Drosophila melanogaster: one gene and its partners. The protein of the gene in region 3 purifies or fractionates together with the protein of the main gene of each other region. This does not show direct contact. Each region holds a gene or a part of one and is shown on either strand. Other genes may lie near its edges.

What was found. Proteins that work in one complex are often made in the same cells at the same time.
Region 1: the proteins of eIF4B (region 3) and CG11771 purify together in Drosophila melanogaster (affinity purification with mass spectrometry, with the first as the bait; one large-scale study listed by BioGRID). This does not show direct contact.
Region 2: the proteins of eIF4B (region 3) and CG9377 purify together in Drosophila melanogaster (affinity purification with mass spectrometry, with the first as the bait; one large-scale study listed by BioGRID). This does not show direct contact.

What each region holds. Positions count from the first base shown.
Region 1 is NT_033777.3:24,928,372-24,935,419, forward strand, and holds CG11771 (uncharacterized protein), read left to right. Parts: upstream 1-3,638; 5' UTR 3,639-3,761; coding exon 3,762-3,865; intron 3,866-3,922; coding exon 3,923-6,011; 3' UTR 6,012-6,548; downstream 6,549-7,048. Other genes in the region: Osbp (oxysterol binding protein), read right to left, coding at 7,028-7,048.
Region 2 is NT_033779.5:13,359,401-13,364,963, reverse strand, and holds CG9377 (uncharacterized protein), read left to right. Parts: upstream 1-3,398; 5' UTR 3,399-3,480; coding exon 3,481-3,696; intron 3,697-4,170; coding exon 4,171-5,022; 3' UTR 5,023-5,063; downstream 5,064-5,563. Other genes in the region: Nnp-1, read left to right, coding at 1-951.
Region 3 is NT_037436.4:27,853,747-27,862,033, reverse strand, and holds the start of eIF4B (eukaryotic translation initiation factor 4B), read left to right. Parts: upstream 1-3,762; 5' UTR 3,763-3,830; coding exon 3,831-3,843; intron 3,844-4,098; coding exon 4,099-5,250; coding exon of another isoform or gene 5,251-5,258; exon of another isoform or gene 5,259-5,326; coding exon of another isoform or gene 5,327-5,331; exon of another isoform or gene 5,332-5,668; intron 5,669-8,287.

The DNA of each region.
Region 1 (7,048 bases), on a different chromosome or scaffold from region 3:
GCTATTAATATTTTAAACAAAGACAAAGTTCCGCAGCCACTATTCAAAATAGAACTCGAACCAGAGCTCCAGGCACTAAAGAAAAACGAAGTGCACCCAATATACAATTTACAGTACTTGCTACATCGGAGGATCACCGTGGAGGAGCCGCACAAACGTATCAATCCAGTTCAATGTACTAATTGCCAAGAATACGGCCACACCAAGGCATACTGCACCCTTAAGTCCGTATGTGTTGTCTGTAGCGAACCTCATACTACCGCAAACTGCCCCAAAAACAAGGACGATAAGTCTGTGAAGAAATGCAGTAACTGCGGGGAAAAACATACTGCAAACTACAGAGGCTGTGTGGTGTACAAAGAATTGAAGAGCCGCCTAAACAAACGTATTGCCACAGCACATACATACAACAAAGTCAATTTCTACTCTCCGCAACCGATTTTTCAACCACCCCTAACTGTCCCAAGCACTACTCCAACAATTTCTTTCGCTAGCGCCCTAAAATCCGGACTAGAAGTGCCCGCCCCACCGACAAGAACTGCTCATTCCGAACATACACCGACAAACATCCAACAAACACAACAAAGTGGCATCGAAGCTATGATGCTATCCCTACAGCAAAGCATGAAAGACTTCATGACGTTCATGCAAAATACTTTGCAAGAGCTCATGAAAAACCAAAATATCCTGATTCAACTTCTTGTATCTTCAAAATCCCCATAATGGCTTCCCTACGGATATCTCTGTGGAACGCAAATGGCGTTTCACGGCATACACAAGAGCTCACACAGTTCATTTACGAAAAAAACATCGACGTAATGCTACTATCAGAAACGCACCTCACAAACAAAAACAATTTTCATATACCAGGATACTTGTTCTATGGTACAAATCATCCAGATGGTAAAGCTCATGGAGGCACTGGAATACTCATCAGAAATCGCATAAAACACCACCACTTAAACAATTTTGACAAAAACTACTTACAATCTACGTCCATAGCCTTACAACTCAACAATGGTTCAACGACTCTAGCCGCAGTCTACTGCCCACCGCGCTTTCCAATCTCTGAGGATCAATTCATGGAATTCTTTAACACACTAGGTGACAGGTTCATCGCAGCGGGTGACTATAACGCCAAGCACACCCATTGGGGATCTCGACTTGTGTCGCCAAAGGGTAAGCAATTGTACAATGCGCTTACGAAGCCAGAAAACAAGCTAGACTATGTATCCCCGGGTAAGCCTACATACTGGCCAGCAGACCCAAGAAAAATCCCAGACCTGATCGATTTTGCAATTACTAAACATGTCCCCCGCAACATGGTCACCGCCGAAGCACTAGCAGACTTATCATCAGATCACTCACCTGTTTTTCTAAATATGCTAACTCGCCCCCACATCGTCGACCCACCGTATAGACTCACAAATTTTAGAACAAACTGGCCAAGGTATCAAAAGTATGTCTGTTCACACATAGAACTAACGACGGCATTATCTACAAAGGAGGATATAGACAAGTCAACGGAAACTCTTGAAAACATTTTAGTTTCGGCTGCAAAGGCTTCAACCCCGCCAGTGACGTATGCAAAACCAAACTACATCAAAACTAATCGCGAAATCGAGCGGCTGGTATTAGATAAACGACGCCTACGAAGGGATTGGCAGTCTAATAGATCACCAATTACTAAGCACATGCTTAAGATAGCCACACGCAGGCTTACCAATGCTCTCAAACAAGAGGAAAAAAACAGCCAACGTTCATATATCGAGCAACTCTCTCCCACCAGCACTAAGTACCCTCTTTGGAGAGCTCACAGAAACCTAAAGACTCCAATAGCGCCAATTATGCCACTACGAAGTCCCTCTGGCACCTGGTTTCGAAGTGATGAAGAAAGAGCCAGTGCTTTCGCTGACCATTTACAAAATGTATTCCGACCAAATCCCTCTACCAACACATTTATTCTCCCTCCTTTAATAGCAGCCAATCTAGATCCTCAAGAACCCTTTGAATTCCGACCATGTGAACTAGCAAAGGTTATCAAAGAGCAACTGAACCCAAGAAAATCGCCTGGCTACGACCTAATAACTCCAAGAATGCTCATTGAACTCCCAAAGTGTGCTATTCTTCACATCTGCCTGTTGTTCAACGCAATCGCCAAGCTTGGATACTTCCCTCAAAAATGGAAAAAGTCGACCATAGTAATGATTCCAAAGCCAGGAAAAGATAAAACGCAGCCATCATCATATAGACCGATAAGCTTACTAACATGTCTTTCAAAGCTGTTTGAAAAAATGCTACTCCTTCGGATTAGCCCTCATCTTAGAATAAACAACACACTTCCAACACATCAATTTGGCTTTAGAGAAAAACATGGAACCATCGAACAGGTCAACCGAATCACGTCAGAAATTCGTACTGCTTTTGAACATCGAGAATACTGCACAGCCATTTTTCTAGACGTCGCGCAGGCATTTGACAGAGTGTGGCTCGATGGACTTTTGTTTAAAATAATCAAGCTGTTGCCCCAAAACACACATAAGCTACTGAAGTCATACCTATATAACAGAGTGTTTGCAATAAGATGCGATACAAGCACTTCACGCGATTGCGCAATCGAAGCTGGAGTGCCGCAAGGCAGTGTACTGGGTCCAATCTTATACACCCTGTATACGGCGGATTTCCCCATAGACTACAATCTAACAACCTCCACGTTCGCTGATGATACCGCGATACTCAGTCGCTCGAAATGCCCAATAAAAGCCACGGCACTCCTATCCCGACACTTAACATCTGTAGAACGATGGCTTGCCGACTGGAGAATTTCAATAAATGTTCAAAAATGCAAGCAGGTTACCTTTACCTTAAACAAACAAACATGCCCACCACTGGTCTTGAATAACATATGCATTCCACAAGCCGACGAGGTAACATATCTGGGAGTTCATCTGGACAGGCGGCTCACTTGGCGCAAACATATAGAAGCCAAATCGAAACATCTTAAACTTAAAGCAAGGAACCTCCACTGGCTCATAAATGCTCGCTCTCCACTTAGTCTGGAGTTCAAAGCTCTTCTATACAACTCCGTCTTAAAACCTATCTGGACTTATGGCTCCGAGCTGTGGGGCAACGCATCCAGAAGTAACATAGACATTATTCAGCGAGCACAGTCAAGAATTCTGAGAATTATCACTGGAGCGCCGTGGTACCTTCGGAACGAAAACATACACAGAGACCTAAAAATCAAATTAGTAATCGAAGTAATAGCTGAGAAAAAAACGAAGTATAACGAAAAGCTGACCACCCATACAAATCCCCTCGCAAGAAAACTAATCCGAGTATGCAGTCAAAGCCGGCTGCACCGCAACGACCTCCCAGCCCAGCAATAAACTTATTAGGGCATTAATGAAAAAAAAAAAACTATCACTAAGTGAAAGTTAATTAAGTTAGATTAAGATTTGAACACTTATTGTTAGTCTCTTAACACAAAGGGAAGATTCAATAAATAATAAAAATTAAAAAAAAAAAAAAAAAAAAAAAGAGAAGTCACAGATTAGGATAGATTGGATTCAGTGACTGCAGTAAAGTGTGATTTTCGCATCACTGCCGGCTCCACCGCTGATGGTGGCAACCCTGGCCGCTGTCACTTGCTTTTTGGTCCAGGCGTGTTGTGTAAACGCTGGCCCCCATTTCAGAATCCCAAATTCCGGCGCAAACTGTCCGGAATTGTACATATCTGGATTAACGACTTCACCTAGGACATGCTAAATCTCCTACGAAGGCGCCCAACGTCGGTGCCCCTCATCCGGGCCGCGCTTAGCGCTCCGCTGCACTCAACGGAAAACCGGCCGGGTTACATAGTGCTGTAAGTACGAAAATTACCCGGATTCAACATGTGGAGTCACTAAACCTATCCCCGCAGGGTACCGGAGATCGGTGAGGAGGGACCGCTAGGCGAGGGCGTGCTCAAGCCGGACGGACTTCCCGCCTTCAGTGACATCACCATCGAGATGTGCTTGGGCGCCATTGGTCAGCAGGCATCGGCGGTGGAGAACTCGGTGAAGGCGCTGGAGAGCGACCTGCACAGTGGCAAGCAGCTAAATGCCGCCAGCATCTTTCGGGAGCTGGACACCGTGACGGGTCCACTGGAGACGACATGGGGTGTGGCCAAGGCTCTGTACCTGGGCAATTCTACCCTGATACCCACCAAATCCTACATGAACATCCACGAACGAGCGCGTAACGCTCGGGCAGCGAAGTTCTGCAATCAAACGGTGTATAAGGCACTCAAGGATGCTTCGTCCGATTCGGGTCCAGATGAGCAGAGGATGCGACAGAAGTTCCTGCTCGAGGGCAAGCTGAACGGGCTCACGCTGGACAAAGATAAGCAGGATGGACTGAAAGAGCTGCTTACCCATTTGGGTCGAGAGAGAGCCAACTTCAAGAACAAGGTCAACATGGCAGTGCACTCGTTTGGACAGATTATTACGGACTTCAATCTTGTAAGAGATTTCCCGCCTTCGCTTCTTGAGGCAACAGCCCGCGATCCCGGACAACCTATGACGGGTCCTTGGAAGATAACCCTACAGCCTCAAGTGGTCGATGGTTTTCTAAAGCACTGCCCAGAGCGAATGCAGCGTTGGAACGTCTGGAGGGCCAGTGTGCTGAAGGCATCCTCGCAGCAGGAAAAATCCCTGGAGAACAGCACACACATCGAAAAAATACGCGGTTTGCGCAAGCGACAGGCAAATCTGTTGGGCTATGAAAGCTTTGCAGACATGTCCATGCAGACCAAAATGGTGGGCAGTGTGGACAACCTTAAGCAGATCTTTGCCAAGCTTCTCAAGTTCGCCGGCCCTGCTCAAAGTGTGGAGCTGGAGAAACTACAGGGCTTCGCTCAGGACAGTGGCTGTGAATACAAGCTGGAAGCCTACGACGTTGCCTACTGGCGGCGCAAGCAACTGGCGGCGGAGCACGGTCTCCAAGATCAGAAGCTCCGCGAGTTTTTCCCACTGCCCCGCGTTCTTTCCGGCTTGTTTGCGCTGAGTGAAAAGCTCTTCGGCATCAAAATAGTTGAGCAGCCCAATGCGGAGGTGTGGCATCCGGCAGTTAAGTTCTACGATGTGTTCGATGCTGATTCCGTCAATAGCTCCACCCCGGTGGGTGGCTTTTATGTGGACTGCTATTCCAAGGAGCACAAGTTCGGCAGAAACAATGGTTGGATGGTGGGCATACGGAACAGCAATAAGTCTGCCGGGCTGACGCCTCTCTGTGCGCTGATATTTAACTTTTCGGAGCCACAAAGTCCGGATGCCAAGCCCCCGCTTCTTGGATACGATGATCTGCAGATGCTCTTCAAGACTTTTGGAAGCGGACTCCAACACCTGCTCACCCAAGCGGGGTACAGCGATTTGGCGGGACTCTCAAACATCGAGTGGGATGCCTCTCAAGTGTCCGGTCATGTGATGAGCAACTTCCTCGACGATCCCACAGTGATTCGAAGCCTATCCGGACACTTTAGCAGCGGTGAGCCCTTGGAGGCTGAGCTTTCACAGAAGATGCGATTGCTGAAGACTCAGTTGGCTGGCTATAATCTGTGCCAGGACCTCTACCTGGCGGATCTCGACGTGGAGCTGCACCGCTCGAATGCCTTCTGGCTGGAGGTGGTTCGCAAGCTGTGGCCGGTTTATCAATGCATGCCGCTGGACAAGAAGGACGCACATCCGTGCTCCCTGACCGACATTTTTGCCGGAGATTGGGCGGCCGCCCAGTTCAGTCACTTGTATTCCCGCCTCATAGCCGCCGACATTTCGAGCAGCTTTGCTGAGCAGCGAAGCGAAGAGAACTACGCGGTCGTTGGCCGGCGCTACAAGCAGACCTTCCTCAGCTGCGGCGGATCTGTGCCCACGGCGGAAGTGTTCCGTCGCTTCCAGGGTCGCGACCCGTCGGCCGAGGCACTTCTAAAGTCGCTGGACATATTTGAACCCTCCCAGACCACAGATAACAACTGAGGGTCGCCCTCTGTTCCGCTAAAACGTTATCTATTGTGTGTAGTCAACAAATGCTGATCGATGGCAGCCTGTGGAGGCCCGACGAGTGGCAACCTTATAGGAAAGTAAGCATTGGAGTATTGGAAAATATTTTAAAATAGTTTTGAAATGTATTCTGTTAAATATTTGTTTATTGGTCAAGATCCCACTTGTACTTATTTAAAAGAAAGTATAGCCGTAATTGAATGACCCCAGCCAGGAAACTGAAAACCAAAAACGATTGATAAGGGCTTTATAAATTTTGGAAGTGTAACTATTAAAACAAGAATTCTATACTTTACGCCTCCACGATTTATTAGTCGGCAATTCGATCTACACCCTAATTGGCAGCCGGATGTGATAGCGATCGCGTGAGTCAGGCGGGATCTTATCGCAGGTGTGCAGGTGGTGTCGCCAGGCGACATCGTCAGTTACCCCAGTTGAACACACATACACACACACGTTGTTGCTTTATTTAAATAATACTTTAATAATAAATTGCATAAATTTATAACATTTAACATATTCTCTCGCTTCTTGCTCGGTTCTCTCGATTCGGTTCGATATATTTATATACACAACAAAGGCGAAGTATGCATTCAGCGGAAAGGAAAAAGACATCTAGGGGTTTGGATGGAAACCGAGGATTAAGAGCTATCATCTGTCTTGGCCTTCTGTTGGAAAGCCACTAGAAATGGTTAACCGGTAGTCAGGAAGAAATAATCAAAGTACATTTCGACGCAGGGGTATGGATTAAACTTGGTTAGTTTACAGGAATTAATTTATATATATATATATATATAAATATGCTCTAGATCAAAGTGTGGTACTACAATATGCGTATGTGCTGCTCCGAAATCAGTCGGAGCGTGTCCCGCTGTGGTGTGTTAGTTGTGTGTGGAGGCTGGATATCTGAAAACTTTAGAATATTCGCTAAGGCTGCTATGTGTGGTAGTGGCTGCAGTTGCTCCCTTGGCTGCTCCGTTGGCTACTGCTGTCTAGTATATGTCCGGACAGCC
Region 2 (5,563 bases), on a different chromosome or scaffold from region 3:
AAGGTGGAGGGACAAACTCTGTCCGAAATGGTGGAGCAAAAAGTGGCTGCCTTAGATAAGATGGAGGACGAGGTCTTTGCAACCGGAAGAAAACTGAAGAAGCTCAACAAATCCAAACGCAAACGCCTACTGCAGTCCATTAACTTTGAGGAGGTGGACGAGCACAACTACGATGAGGTTATTAGCAAGGCTCTGCCTCCTGAGCTGCAGAAGAAGGTGAATTACAATGCAAAGGTGCGTTCTAGCATAAACAACGCATGGGTAGTAGAGGAGGTCAAGGAGGCCGAGCCCAAGTCGAAGAAAGCAAAAAAGGAAGAACCGCCACAGCAGAACAAAGATGACCAGACGAAGGTGAAGAAGAAAAGCCAGCTTAAGCCGAAGAATGACCAGTCCAAGCCCAAGATAGAGGATCAACCGACCTTGAAGGCAGAAAAAGAAGAGCCTGCGAAGCGCAAGAAATTGGACCACTCCAAGACGAAGGAGGAGCAGTCGAAGCCGAAGACAGACGAGCAGCCCAAGCCCACACCTAAGGTGGAGGGACAGTCCAAGGCCAAGCCGACTCCCAAAACGAAGGCTGCCGGTGTTGATGATGATGCTCCGACCAACGGATGGGATGCCCCTTTAGAGGACGGTGAGCAGGACATCTTTGTTCCCTCTCGAAAACTGCAAGTGAAGCAGGCCAACAGTAAGCTGCCGCAGTCCACACCCAAACAGCCTGCGCGCGCAGAGTTTGCGACTCCACAAACGGGCAGTGGCAAGCATGTGCGGATCGTGACTAAGAGCAACTGCATCTACCCCAAGAGCGATTACTACCGCCAGCTGAAGCTGTCTCCGCAGGTGCCCTACGACGCGAATCGGTTGCCCGGTAAGAGTGCCCTTAAGCCACACTGGATACCGGGACCGATTCATCCGAGCTACAAGGCCAAGCGCTTGTTCAACGACACTCTGTGACAAAGCGTCTAGTGGCAGCGACTGGGATTGGGACAGGATGAGGAAGATTAATTTGGACTTAGTGCTCTGAGGGACGATGAAGAAGGGGGAGCGCTTCGCATCATACTACTTCCTTATAAGGCAGTATAAGATAACACATCCACAATAGGCATGTCTTATGCTGGTTTTATAATACGTCTATACACACGAAAGTTTCCATGCTATATTTTTCTATTTTACAATGTTAAAGCCCTTTTGTTTAGTTTCGAGAGCACCGTTACTATGCTTAAATATTTCAATTTTCTAGAATAGTTGAAATTTACGATAGTTCCGTGTTGCCTTGACTAATTTCTACTCAAATAAAATCCGTATAAGACATGTACTAAATGTAATCCCCTAATCTTTTAGTAGTTACAATTACGACTTAAAATACTATTGCTTGTAGGCCATTTTATGTTCAAGCTATCCTCTGATCTGAGTTGAAATAAAAGCAAACGTAGTATATGTAAAATCAAATACGAATCACAAAGTTTATTTAATTACCAGGTACAGAAAGAACTAAGTAATTTAGCATTTTGATGGGCTAACAATTCCAGCTTTCAAATTTCAAAACTATATTTTTTCGAGCAGAGAATGGGGAAAACGAATGTATATCAATAGCTATTTGATAGTTAATAGCTTATTATTATACCAACATTTTGAAAATAAATATGTCATTATTATTTTATATCATGGTTGGGCAAAAGAATCGTCAAAATACTGCTCATGACTCTTATGAGCTTAGTCTGTTCCACTCAAAGCCACATATTTGACTCACTCAGAACTGCGCTTGAGTCTTGAGATTGCAGTTAACATTCCGTTAACATTCACTCAATTGGTAGTTGAGCTAAAAAAAACTGCATTTAAGGGAGGAATATGCAGCTAAGAGAGTTAAAAACACCCACTCAATCAAAACACTCAATTGAGACAAAAAACTGAGAATGAGTTTAAAAAGTTGCAGAAATAATACTCAAATGTTAAATGCCATTTTAGTGACACTTATCAATGCTTAAAGTTACTGTGGTTAGACTAATTTAATATGTTTAATTCTCTGAATTATATTTAATATATGGAACTGTATTATTGGCATGGAAGCATTCATATAGTCACAATTAAATTTTCTTAAAATTCGAATTTTTTATGACTGGCATTTAATTCACACCACAAGGATTCGATTAATGCTATATATTAATATGTTAATGCAATTGCTTATACTTTATCTATTTAAATTGTGATTGCAAATTGCATAAGAACCATCCTTTGATGATGGCATTTTGCGGTTGGTATATGTATTATTGGCGCATAAAAAGCGATTCATACGGATGCACAGCACAATTTACAAACAGTTTTGATCCCATTCATGCAAAATGAACTTCCGATCCGCCCAGCACAATTGGTTGAATAATAAATTTTCATAATAATTGAATATTTGCCACCGCAAGGGGGAATCGATGGCGAGTGAAGAGGGTGTGACATGTTCATAAATCTGTTTTAAGTGGACGGCCAGCAACAATAACAGGATTCATTTCCTCGAGGATAACATCTGTTCAGAAGTGTTGCAACACGATGGAACAAATTAAGTTTCGCACAGGACCAGCAGGCAGGCACAGGACACGTTAACTTTCTACACATTTGACGCATGTACTCTCCTCCTGGCATTCTTGTTCGCCCACCTCAGGGTCCTCGATTCGAACTCATACCTCACAATTCCTGTTGACAATCTGCTTAAGTTGCGTAAATCTCAGCTAAACAAGTCGGTGCATCAAATATATATATATATATATACATTTGTCCAGATGCTGAAAGCTGGGTGTTGTCTATCGAATGGCAGGCAAACTGCAGATTTCTGCCCGGAAAAACCCAAGCCATCTTGTCGCCACCTCATTTTCCTCAGAGTGTTGTGTGCATGTGCATGTCTGGTGTATTAAACTTTGTCGAAATTTTATTCAATTTACGTGCACTTAGGCGACGATTGTACATTAAGATATGACACAATCCCTAAGCCAGTGCACAGCTGATCCGCATCCTCCCCCACTTTCAGTCCCATTCGAATGTAATAGATATGGATACGTGTAAGTGGCGGCAGACTAAGGAAAGTGCCAGATACATCTGCGTAATTGGGCATAGAGTGGATACCCTTTCCAAGGGACAACTTCACAAAGTATCTTTAAGGACAGAACTATCTATCAAATCTATCTTTTGCTAGAACCAATAACTGCAAATACCATTTGCTGGCCTAGAATGTATTATAAACTGTGATTATATTTTCTCAGTGCATTGCCGCCGAAACCAATTGTCATATTGTCCAGGTCCAGCCCCTTTTTTCCCAGCACAATGTCGACTATTTTTAGCACTTTAATGGATCGCAATCTATTTTTTGCCCAATCAAATCGGTGTGTACGGCTTGAACTTTGGCGAGGCTATAAAAGCCATCGGTCGCCCAGTTGCGCAGTTCAAGTGCAAGGCGAAGGCACCTGTTCAGGGACGGAATCGGAATCGGAATCCTCGGATATGTGCTTCTATCGGATTGTGGTCATCTGTCTTCTAGGCTCCCTAGTGCCCTCCATAGCGGCATCCAAAGTCTGCGGACCGGAAAAGCATTGCGTTCCCTACGAGCAGTGCAACGAGGGCTTAATGGTGGACGGAAAATTCTATCCGGATCGCAGCAGAACGACTTTGGATGAGAATTGTCACTATATGGAAAAGTGCTGTAATATCCCCGATAAAGTGAGTATTGAAAAAGTTACGATTTTCATAAAGTTTTCCGGAATGCGGTATCAAAAACTTGACTAAAAAAATGGTTTAAATCGCATTGGAATTAAATCAAATAAAAAAACAAACAATCCTTGATTCGACGCTCTTAAATTTAATACCTTTTGGATTTTAAACCGGTTGGCTTTCTGAATTGCAGCCACATTTAATGATTAACTGGTTACAACCGGTCAAAAAAATAAAGCGATTTATCGAAAAAATTCTTTTATTCCCTACCTGATGCAAAGAAATCAACCATTTTTTTATGCTAGCTGACAATTTAAATTTGTATGATATATTTTACCCATATTACGAAAAAAATTCGTTTGTTTTTCAGTTTCTAGCGGCCAAGCACTTAACACTGTTGTTATATTTAACTTAATTTCATTTAATTGCCTGAAGTAAAATCAAATCAATAAGTTTTTAAAAGTCGAACTTTTATACCAACAGCTCCCGACTCCGAAAATTCCAGAGGAGATGATGAGCTGCCCGTGTGGAGGACGCCATGATCTCTGGTACTACCTTCGACCGCTGGGATATAAACAGCAAGAGGCCAAGTTCGGGGAGTTTCCCTGGTTGGTGGCGGTCTACGGGTCGGATACTTATCTCTGCAGTGGAGCACTTATCACTCCGCTGGCGGTGATCACCACCGCGCACTGCGTTCAGAATTCGGAAATGGAGAAGGTTCGTCTGTTGGCCGGGGAATGGGATGCCGCCGTGGAGCTGGAGCCCCAGCCGCACCAGCAAAGATCGGTTGTTGAGACATTAGTGCATCCCAATTACACTCAAATGCCATTGGCCCACAACATAGCGATACTTCTGGTGGACAAGGAGAAACCTTTCCAGCTGGCTCCTAATGTACAGCCCATTTGCTTGCCGCCTCCGCGAATAATGTACAACTACAGCCAGTGCTATGTGTCCGGTTGGCAGAGGAGTGATTTTGGTAGAGCTGCAATCCTGCCCAAGCGTTGGACACTCTACGTCCTACCACCCGATCAATGCAGGACCAAGTTGCGATTGTCCCTCTTGGGGCGACGCCACGCCCACAACGATAGCCTGCTGTGTGCCGGCGGCGACAAGGGTGACTTCGTCTGCGGTGATGTGGACATGACCGCTGTGCCGCTGATGTGTCCTCTTTCCGGTCACGATGATCGTTTCCACCTGGCCGGTCTTTTGACCCGCACGGCTCGCTGCGATGGCCCGCAACTTCTTGGAATTTACACAAACGTCAAGTTGTACCGGCAGTGGATCGATTTGAAGCTAAGGGAACGCAATCTTGATATACGACACTACATGGTGTGAAACAATTATTGAGAAACTAATAAAACATTGAATCCATTATCAAACACATGAATGTGTTTCGTGTTACCTATGGTATAAGGTAGTAATATTTCATTTCGATGGACTTTAAGCAGCTTTCGTGACCAGCTTTCCTGATCAGATTATCAGATATGTAATATAATAAACTTCTACTGACCCATGACTATCGGCAAGGCTTTGTCACTTCAGTAGTGTTCCTACTTTGAGTGGCCTCCATGGACACCCAACTTCTTTGCCTGCTGATGGTCAATTGCTTCAATATAAACTCCAGGAAAGAGTCTTACAAGGAAGACATTGTGCATGTGGACTGCACTCTGTCTTCTTCCTAATAAGTTCAGAGATTTTAGAAGAAGCATCTGCTTCCATTATTTCCATGCGTGGCGTGCATCATGGGAATCAGTTTGGATGTTCTGCTGATGTCGGAAAATCTAAAAAATAAGTTTTAGAATTACCTTCTGGACGGATTCGTAAATAAAGCTTCCATGTCGATGGGTGCTTAGTTCGTCGGTAAAGCAGAATCGCT
Region 3 (8,287 bases):
ATTACTTTACCTAGCTTCCGGTCAGCTCAAATGGGACACCGAAATAGTTCAAAATGACTACCACACCTGCCCCGATGTCAATTTAATTTACGTAGATGGCTCGGGCTTTGGTTAAAGGCGCTTATTCAAGGTGCTCGAAAACAGGAAAAAAACGATTGACCGTATCGAAGAGTTCGTCAACGGCGAGATTCAGGTAGTGCTTAGAAACGGCACTTTCCAAAATTTGAAGCCCCCCTACAATAACCCAGTATGTGTTACGACACATACTACGGTTAAAAAGCACACTTACGAATAGGGAAAAAGGAAAATGCGTTTGCTATCAGACTTTCAAAAGATACGGACGGAATCCGACAGGTACACCATGCCAAATATCTCAATGATTTTGGTCGATCTGGTCAAGACCAAACACTTTACGACGCTCAATCTGAAGTCCGGCTACCATAATATCTCGATCGACGATTGCGAACGCGACACAAGTATGAGTTCCGTTGACTTCCATTTCAGTTACGTCTATGTTAATGATGTAATCAGCTTTTCAATTGATGAGGATGCCCATATTGGCAAGACCAAATACTTTACGACCCTCGATCTGAAATCCGGCTAACATAAAATTATATTGAGTGTTTCTAAAGTTTTCCCAAGTCAAATAAACAAAAATTGTTCAAAAGTGTGGGCATGGCTTGGGGGGCTTGTAGGCGTTAAAGTGAATGCAGCAAAACGTTTTTTGGCAGATCGATAGAAACTTTTAAGTCTAATATGTATATGAAAGAATTTCAAATTTTGCAAAAATGTGGGCGTGGCAATTTTGGGCAGTTTGTGGGCGTTAGAGTGGAAATTAACAAGAGCGGTAGTGTGACTTTGTCACTAGAATCTGTATGCTTATTCTCAGCTTTCTTCTAGCTTTGATTATAGTTTATGAGATCTCGACGTTCATATGAACGGACAGACAGACGGACAGGGTCAGATCGACTCGGCTATTGATCCCGATCAGAAATATATATTCTTTATAAGGTCGGGAACGCTTCCTTCTACCTTTTTCATACATTTCAACGAACCTAGTGTACCACTTTATTCTACGAATAACGGGTATAACAATAAAGTAGAAAATAAAAAAAATAAAATGTAATATTTGTACAGTTTATTAATAAAACGATACTTACTTCCATAATAAAAAGACAAATTTAAAAGCACTCAGAAAATATTTTGGAGACACAAGAAAATACTGACGAACCTAACGATTCAAAATTGAAAATGCAGGTAAGAGAAACGCAACAACAAAAATGCTTGCGCTAGTTTTTCTGCTTGTTTTCGCTTTACCATTTGCTTATCGTAAGTACTGAGTCAGAACAAGAAAGAATGCTATAGTCGAGTTCCCCGACTTTCCCAACTCGCTACTTAGCTGGTGTGAATGCGAAAGCAAAATTTCATAATTTTTCTGGGATATCGATATGGGGTATAAAATGAGAAAAAATTAAAAATCGATAGAAATTTACACGACTTATAAAACTATGAAAAATATCCAAAAATGGTTCAAAAATGTGGGCGCGGTAAAGTTTTTTGGCAGGTCGATAAAAATTTACACAGCTAATAAAATTATGAAAAAAATATCAAAAAAAAATTTCAAAAATGTAGGTGTGGCAGTTTTGGGCGGTTTGTGCGGTTGTTAGAGTGGGCGTGGCAAAATGTGTCGACAAACTTTCGCTTCGTTTATATCTCCAGAAACTGTATGCTGAATCGCAAACTTTCTAGCTTTTATAGTTCCTGAGATCTCGACGTTCTACGGACAGTCGGACATGGCCATATCGACTCGGCTATTGATCCTCATCAAGAATGTACAAATGTACTTTATATGGTCGGAAACGCGTACTTCTGCCTGTTACATACTTTCAACGAACGTACTTTAAGATACTTTATTTTCGAGTATAATTTTCAGGAAATGAATTCATTTTACAATCAACAATATAGAAGCAATCATTAAAGGTAACTTGTTGTAATACATTGGAAGTGGAATTATTCCGGAATTCTGGATGCATTCCCATAAATGCTTCTGTAAGCATTCTCTTTTTATATTTTATTCAACTAGAAGTATATAAATTGATCAGTAGCCGTGTTGGTTTATTTTGCTTATTTATACTATGATAGACGAAAGACAAAAATCTGTATTGGGAATAATTAATACAATTAATTAATATAAATTAATTAATTAATTAATTAAATTAATAATATAAAAGAAGAGAGAATTCAATAGTCGAGTTCTCCGAGTATCAGATACCCGTTACTTATGTACTGGGACTGCGAACGCGAAATGTCATAATTTTTCTGGAATTTCGATATATTATTGTTATATATGTATATTGCTTAAAAGTGAGAGCGTGTCAGTTTTGGGACGTTAGTGGGCGTTAGAGTGGGCTCTATGTCTGTGGAACCTGTATACTTTATCTCAACTCTTTAGCTTCTATAGTTGAGAGATCCCGTTGTTGATACAGTGGACAGACAGACAGACGGACATGGCCAGATCGACTCGGCTATTGATCCTGATTAAGAATATACAGGCTACTAAATTTTGTTTGTAAAATTTGAGGTGGGGTCAGAAATAAATTTTTAATAACATAACTAAGTGGGAGAATGATATTATGGTGATGTGGAATAAACATCAAAAGACTACTGAGTAAACTATTTTTATATTTTTTGATATAAAAAAGATATTTACTTTTCATTTCGGCCAGACAAAAGTGCCGGTTTTACAAATCGAAAAATTGTTATCATTTCAAAAACCTCAGCACCGATTTTTCGATTGCAAATCGAAATCGTAAGATACGTTTTTTCTTACTTTTCAACAAATCTAATACACCATTTTACTCTAGGAGTAACGGGTATATACATATAGTACATTGTAATTTATTGAAAACCATGCACGCGTTTATGTTATGGAAACAACCTTTTTTCTTGTTATGTGGATAAAATATCACTACACAACAATTATTTCTCACAAACTCTTCCGAACTTTCCACTGGGTCGCAAAAAATGGAAAGTGGAATAAGGAACATCGCCAGCTTAGACTGCAAGTTAGATTATGATTAGGCTCATAATATATTGTCAAATGCAGGAGTTTACACCACTCAGGCCCTATTAAAAGAAAATCATTGTAAGCTGTACTACAATTGTTGAAACGAACTAATTGCTCCACATAATCATGGAAATTAATTTTGGCTTTTTGTTAAAGAACTCTATATTCCTACATTCCAACAAAGCTGCCTTGTGCAGCGAGTAGGCTATTATTAACTATATTTGAAAACAAAACTAAGTAATTTATCGTGCTAAGAATTTACATGATACAATTTTATTTTATATTGTATGTATTAAAATTTGTTTCATATTTAGAAAAAAAATATTAACACTAAGGTTCAAATAAACAAATTTTTTTACTATTCATATTTAGAAAACATTTCCGTACTACGGTACATAGTCAATGTTAGCCATAAAAAGCATACAAAAATGAACGAATTTGAAAGAGAGCGACAAGTAACTTTGATTAAAACATATACATACATAGTAAATTGTGTCTTAATATTTGAGCTTAAAATAAAAACAGAAAAGTCATCAAACTTTACTGGAATATTCAATTTTATTCTAAGTATCGGATTTTCACATATGTCAAAATTTCCAACTGTTTCTTTAGGATGTGCTCTTTGGGTTTTGGGTATTACCAGTTGTCAAAATAGTGCAGTTAAGCCCGAAATAAATATCGATAACGATATAGGAAAATTGATTTCTCTATTTTTGTGAATTCGGTAAATTATCAAAATTAAAGATTGGAAACATTGGTTGAAATGGCGTCCGCAGGTTAGAAATTTTTTTTATAATATCTAAGTTTAAAGTTTAAATTTTTTTTATTAATTGTAAAAAGGTAGTAATTTAATTGTGAGATTGTGTGGTTCCGCATGGATTTTTTCTTGACACGTAATGTAAAAGGAACACATGTCCACCTGCATGCATATGTGTAATCTTGCTTAACATAATATTTTATTGTATATATTGGTTGGTCATCATTTCTACTTAAGTATGTATTTCAATTTAATATTTTATTTTATTTTTCAGGAAAGAAGGGCAAAAAGAATAAAGGAACAGTTATCTCCTTGCAATCATTTCTATGTAATTCTGACGCTCCAGTCGGAACAACCCAAGTCTCAAAAAAAATACGAAATTTAGATGGCGATGATAGCGATGATGGAAGTGGTACATTGCCGTTGGTTTATCAGCTTCCAACCGCTCCGAGGGCAAATCGGATATTCGACGATAATTCTATTCCTCATAAAGCCCCATTTATTGCTTATATCAATAATTTACCATTTGACGCAAATGAAGATGACCTCTACGAGTTCTTTGAAGGTATTAATTTAATATCTCTGAGACTACCAAGAGAAGATGGCGAAAATGGTCGTTCCAGAGGCTTTGGCTATGTGGAGTTGGAAAATCGAGAGGATTTAATTCATGTACTTAGCTTGCCAGACCCCTCTATTAAAGGTCGCCGCATTCGCATTGAGCTATCGAATGAAAACGACCAGCAAAGCCGCCAAAAAAGTAATAGGCGGTTTGATGGTTTTGGAAATAATGGAGATAATAGGGATTCCGGAAATTGGAGGCGAGACAGCCAAAACAACGGCAGTAACTTTGGTTATTCTTCCAATTTTGAAAGAAGCTTTAATAGAGAGAGAAAATCTTTACCAGATAGAGATGATGTGAACACTCCTGGATCTTGGCGCACGAGCGCAAGGCCGCAATCTATTGATACTTCCCCTACACGCAGAGAAGTTGAACAAGTATCTGAAAAATATCGCGAAGGTCGAGTCAAAATAGCAGACAGATATTCCCGAGAAGAGACATCCAAAGTTGAAGAAGAAAGGCCAAAATTGAATTTAAAACCAAGAACTTTACCATTGCCAGATGTAAAGACAATTGAATTCGAAAAATGTGACGTTGATGAATTTAATTTGGATAAACAAGGCGGAACTTCATCATTAAACGTGTTTGGGTCTGCAAAACCGGTAGATACAGCAGCAAGGGAGTTGGAGATTGAGCAAAGATTGGCTCTCGCTCGAAAACAGGATAAGGGGCGCAGAGAACAGGGTTTAAATGAAAAACTTGCCGAGCTCCAGGTGGATAAAAATGATAATGAAAGTCTAAGTGCAACAGTTAGTTGGCGCACGAATCAGGACTACAAGGAAAGCGACAAAATTAATAAGTGTCCAGGTAACTAAAATCTAAATATTTGTCTGAATGTAGAAGTGAATTTTATCTGACTTGAGTTTTTAATCTAATCAAAAAGCATAATAATAATAAATAATCAGAGGAGGAGGAAATATACAACGCCACATAAAATACAACAAATTAACATTTTTCGAAAATGTGGGAGAAGCCGTAATTTGGCAAATAATCAATAACGTATCTCCTATATATTTGGTTTTCACCGTGCACCTACTTTTTGGGTGCCGACAAAAAATGCGATGTCTGTAAATTATACCATTGCTTAAAACCCAAACCACAAAAAATACTGTATGCGGGCTTACTTATGCGAGAACACGATTTTCAAGCTGGAAATATTTTATTTAAAAAAAAATCATAATTAACTTGTATTATTCTATTAATAAAATTCGAGTTGCACAAAATTATTCAAATAGTTGGTATTTTCATATATAATACTTAATATTAGTAATGTGCACTTCAGATACATATGTATTGTATATAATGTGTGTTCTCCATATTAAATTTTTGATATGCTACAGGCAGCATAATTTCCTTCTTTCAGAACTCAATATAAACTATTGTGGGCATCGGAAAATAATTATTTATTTTTATAATTTAGGTAAATGTAAATGTAGTTCCAAAGTTTTTATTTATATTTTTTTGAAGATGAAATCTGATAGGTGACGTCCCCCATTCTCCATACATTGCGTAAACCGATTTCTGGCGTTTGTCGTGACTCTTGTTAGCATAGCAGGTGTTATGATGATGATGGTTTTCAACTCTTTTAGCGTTCTTGGACGGTTCACATAAACACGTTGTGAAATTCCTGCACTATCGCCATCTCATACCGATGGAATTTAAGGTCATCATAAAGAATTCTTCTCCCAGAACGATCGGATAGTCATAGTCAAAGGTCAGACGCGTGTTTGAGCGCAGAACGCTGTGGAGATCGCAATATTGGCGCTCTCACTGCTTCAATGTTCTCAGGTGATCTAACGGGTCGAGGGACTCCAGTTCTTCGTTTTGTCGCGCTTGCAGTTTGCCTGAATGTAGTGACCCATGTAACAATTGATTTGCGTTCAGGGACAGGAGCCAACAGTGCTAAATTAAAGCGATACCGAAATGCACGCTGTGTTTTAATAACCGAACATCCGCTTGAAAAGTAGGCCACAACGGCAAAGGCGCGCTCCTCACTATTCCAACGCAAGATGGCGACTGAACCGTGTCGGGACAAAGCTTTGCAGTAGCCCCTCTTGAACGGGGCCATTAGTGCTCCGCTATGACATCAACTAACTGAATGGCGCGCATTTAAAAAAGGAAGTTTTGCTGCCGCACCCTGTATATACAATATGTATGCACGGGTGCGGTCTAAATAATACTAAAGCCGGTCAAGCAAAAAGTTATTTCTCATTATTTTCTCCATTCCTTTACTTAATTAATTAAATTTTTTCACTTTAGTAACTTAGCAGTTATTGACCAAAAGGTGAGATCGTTGCTTAGGAGGACAATCTAGGATTCCGACTTTCGGGTCTGTTTCTTCGAAAAATGTAAGTTTATTAGTAATTAGAAGACGACTCGATCCAGATCCTCATTTCAAGAGGCCAAAAAAAAAAAGCGGCATTACTCAGAAAAAAACATGAAGCCTAATGATTTAGGTTTGCGTGAGATCGCTTGAATTGGTGCAGAGGAGTAAAATCTTGGGGTCGGTTAAGGCGAAAATATTTTTGTTTTGACGGCAGTGACTCAAGTTAGTATTTTAGGTGACTTATAGGATCAAAACCATCACTGATCGTTATCTATACGTCGAAACATTTAAGAAGGTGATGCTCCCATATGCATTAGAGGACGTTTTAACAATACAATGACCAAAAATATACAAGTACACTTCCCAAATAGTGCTTCGTAGCTAATCCAGTCTATGTCATGGAGTGGCCTAATGTGTTGCGCTGGGAGAAGTCTCGGTCATAAAAGCAAGTGATAACTTTTAAATTTTGCAAGATGTAAATCTGGAGCCCGGATGTAATGGAGCTGTGCGACCTTAAATAAAAACTAAGGATATGGAACAAAATACTACAATAACCATAAATATGCCCTTATTTAATCATTCATTCAGTCCTGAAACTATATTCTGGCTGTAATAATTTTTAAAATATTAACTACTATTATTTACTATTACTTTATGACCGGGTAATTTTTTTTTCCTATTTCACATTTATATTTTTAATCATTTTTCTTTAAATAAGCAAATGAACTATCCTAACCGTTTTTTTTTTATTAATACCATCTTTTATTACTTAAGTTTCACTGATAATTTAAAAACAAAAATTTTAAAACGTTGCAAAATTTGTTTAGTTTTGTTCTGTTAGTTTGGTGTTTGGTATGTATGTATAAATATAATATAAATGTATTATAATTTGACGGATATTTGCTTCTTCGTCTTCACTGTCTATGTTAAGTGGCACAGCAAGTAGCTTGCGCGTTGTCTGTTCAATCGTTCTCACTAGACTAACTTACGTGAGAATTGCTCTGTCACTTTTTTTCATATTTCGTCGTCATTTTTGTCACCATTAAACTCTGCCAAACGACACTAGGCGCCATGCTCATTTGAGTATACCCACAAATGCCCTCTTAATAACTGTAAACTCTCCCTAATCAATAATCGCTCTTTAATCTTAATAACAATAACATATGTAGTTTCAGTTACATTCAAAATAATATGTTAGACCTACATGTTCTCCGACACGACATACATGTCATACACTTAAGATAACATTTTATTTTTTTATCATTCAGTTTTTAACTTACCATAATATTTCATGTTTCTATTCAATTTTCTGTAAACAATATCATCGGCATCCCTTGCCTTGCTCAAGCTCTTTTAATTTTACATCTTCCTAATTTTTTCTGATTAAATCGAACAGTATTCCACCATTACTCTGTCTTTTAGTGTATCTTGCAATGCTCTCACGCATCTTCATGCGTCATAGTCCCTCAGGACCCGCATAGTCCCCACCATATAGTCACTGCGCAAATAACGATATGG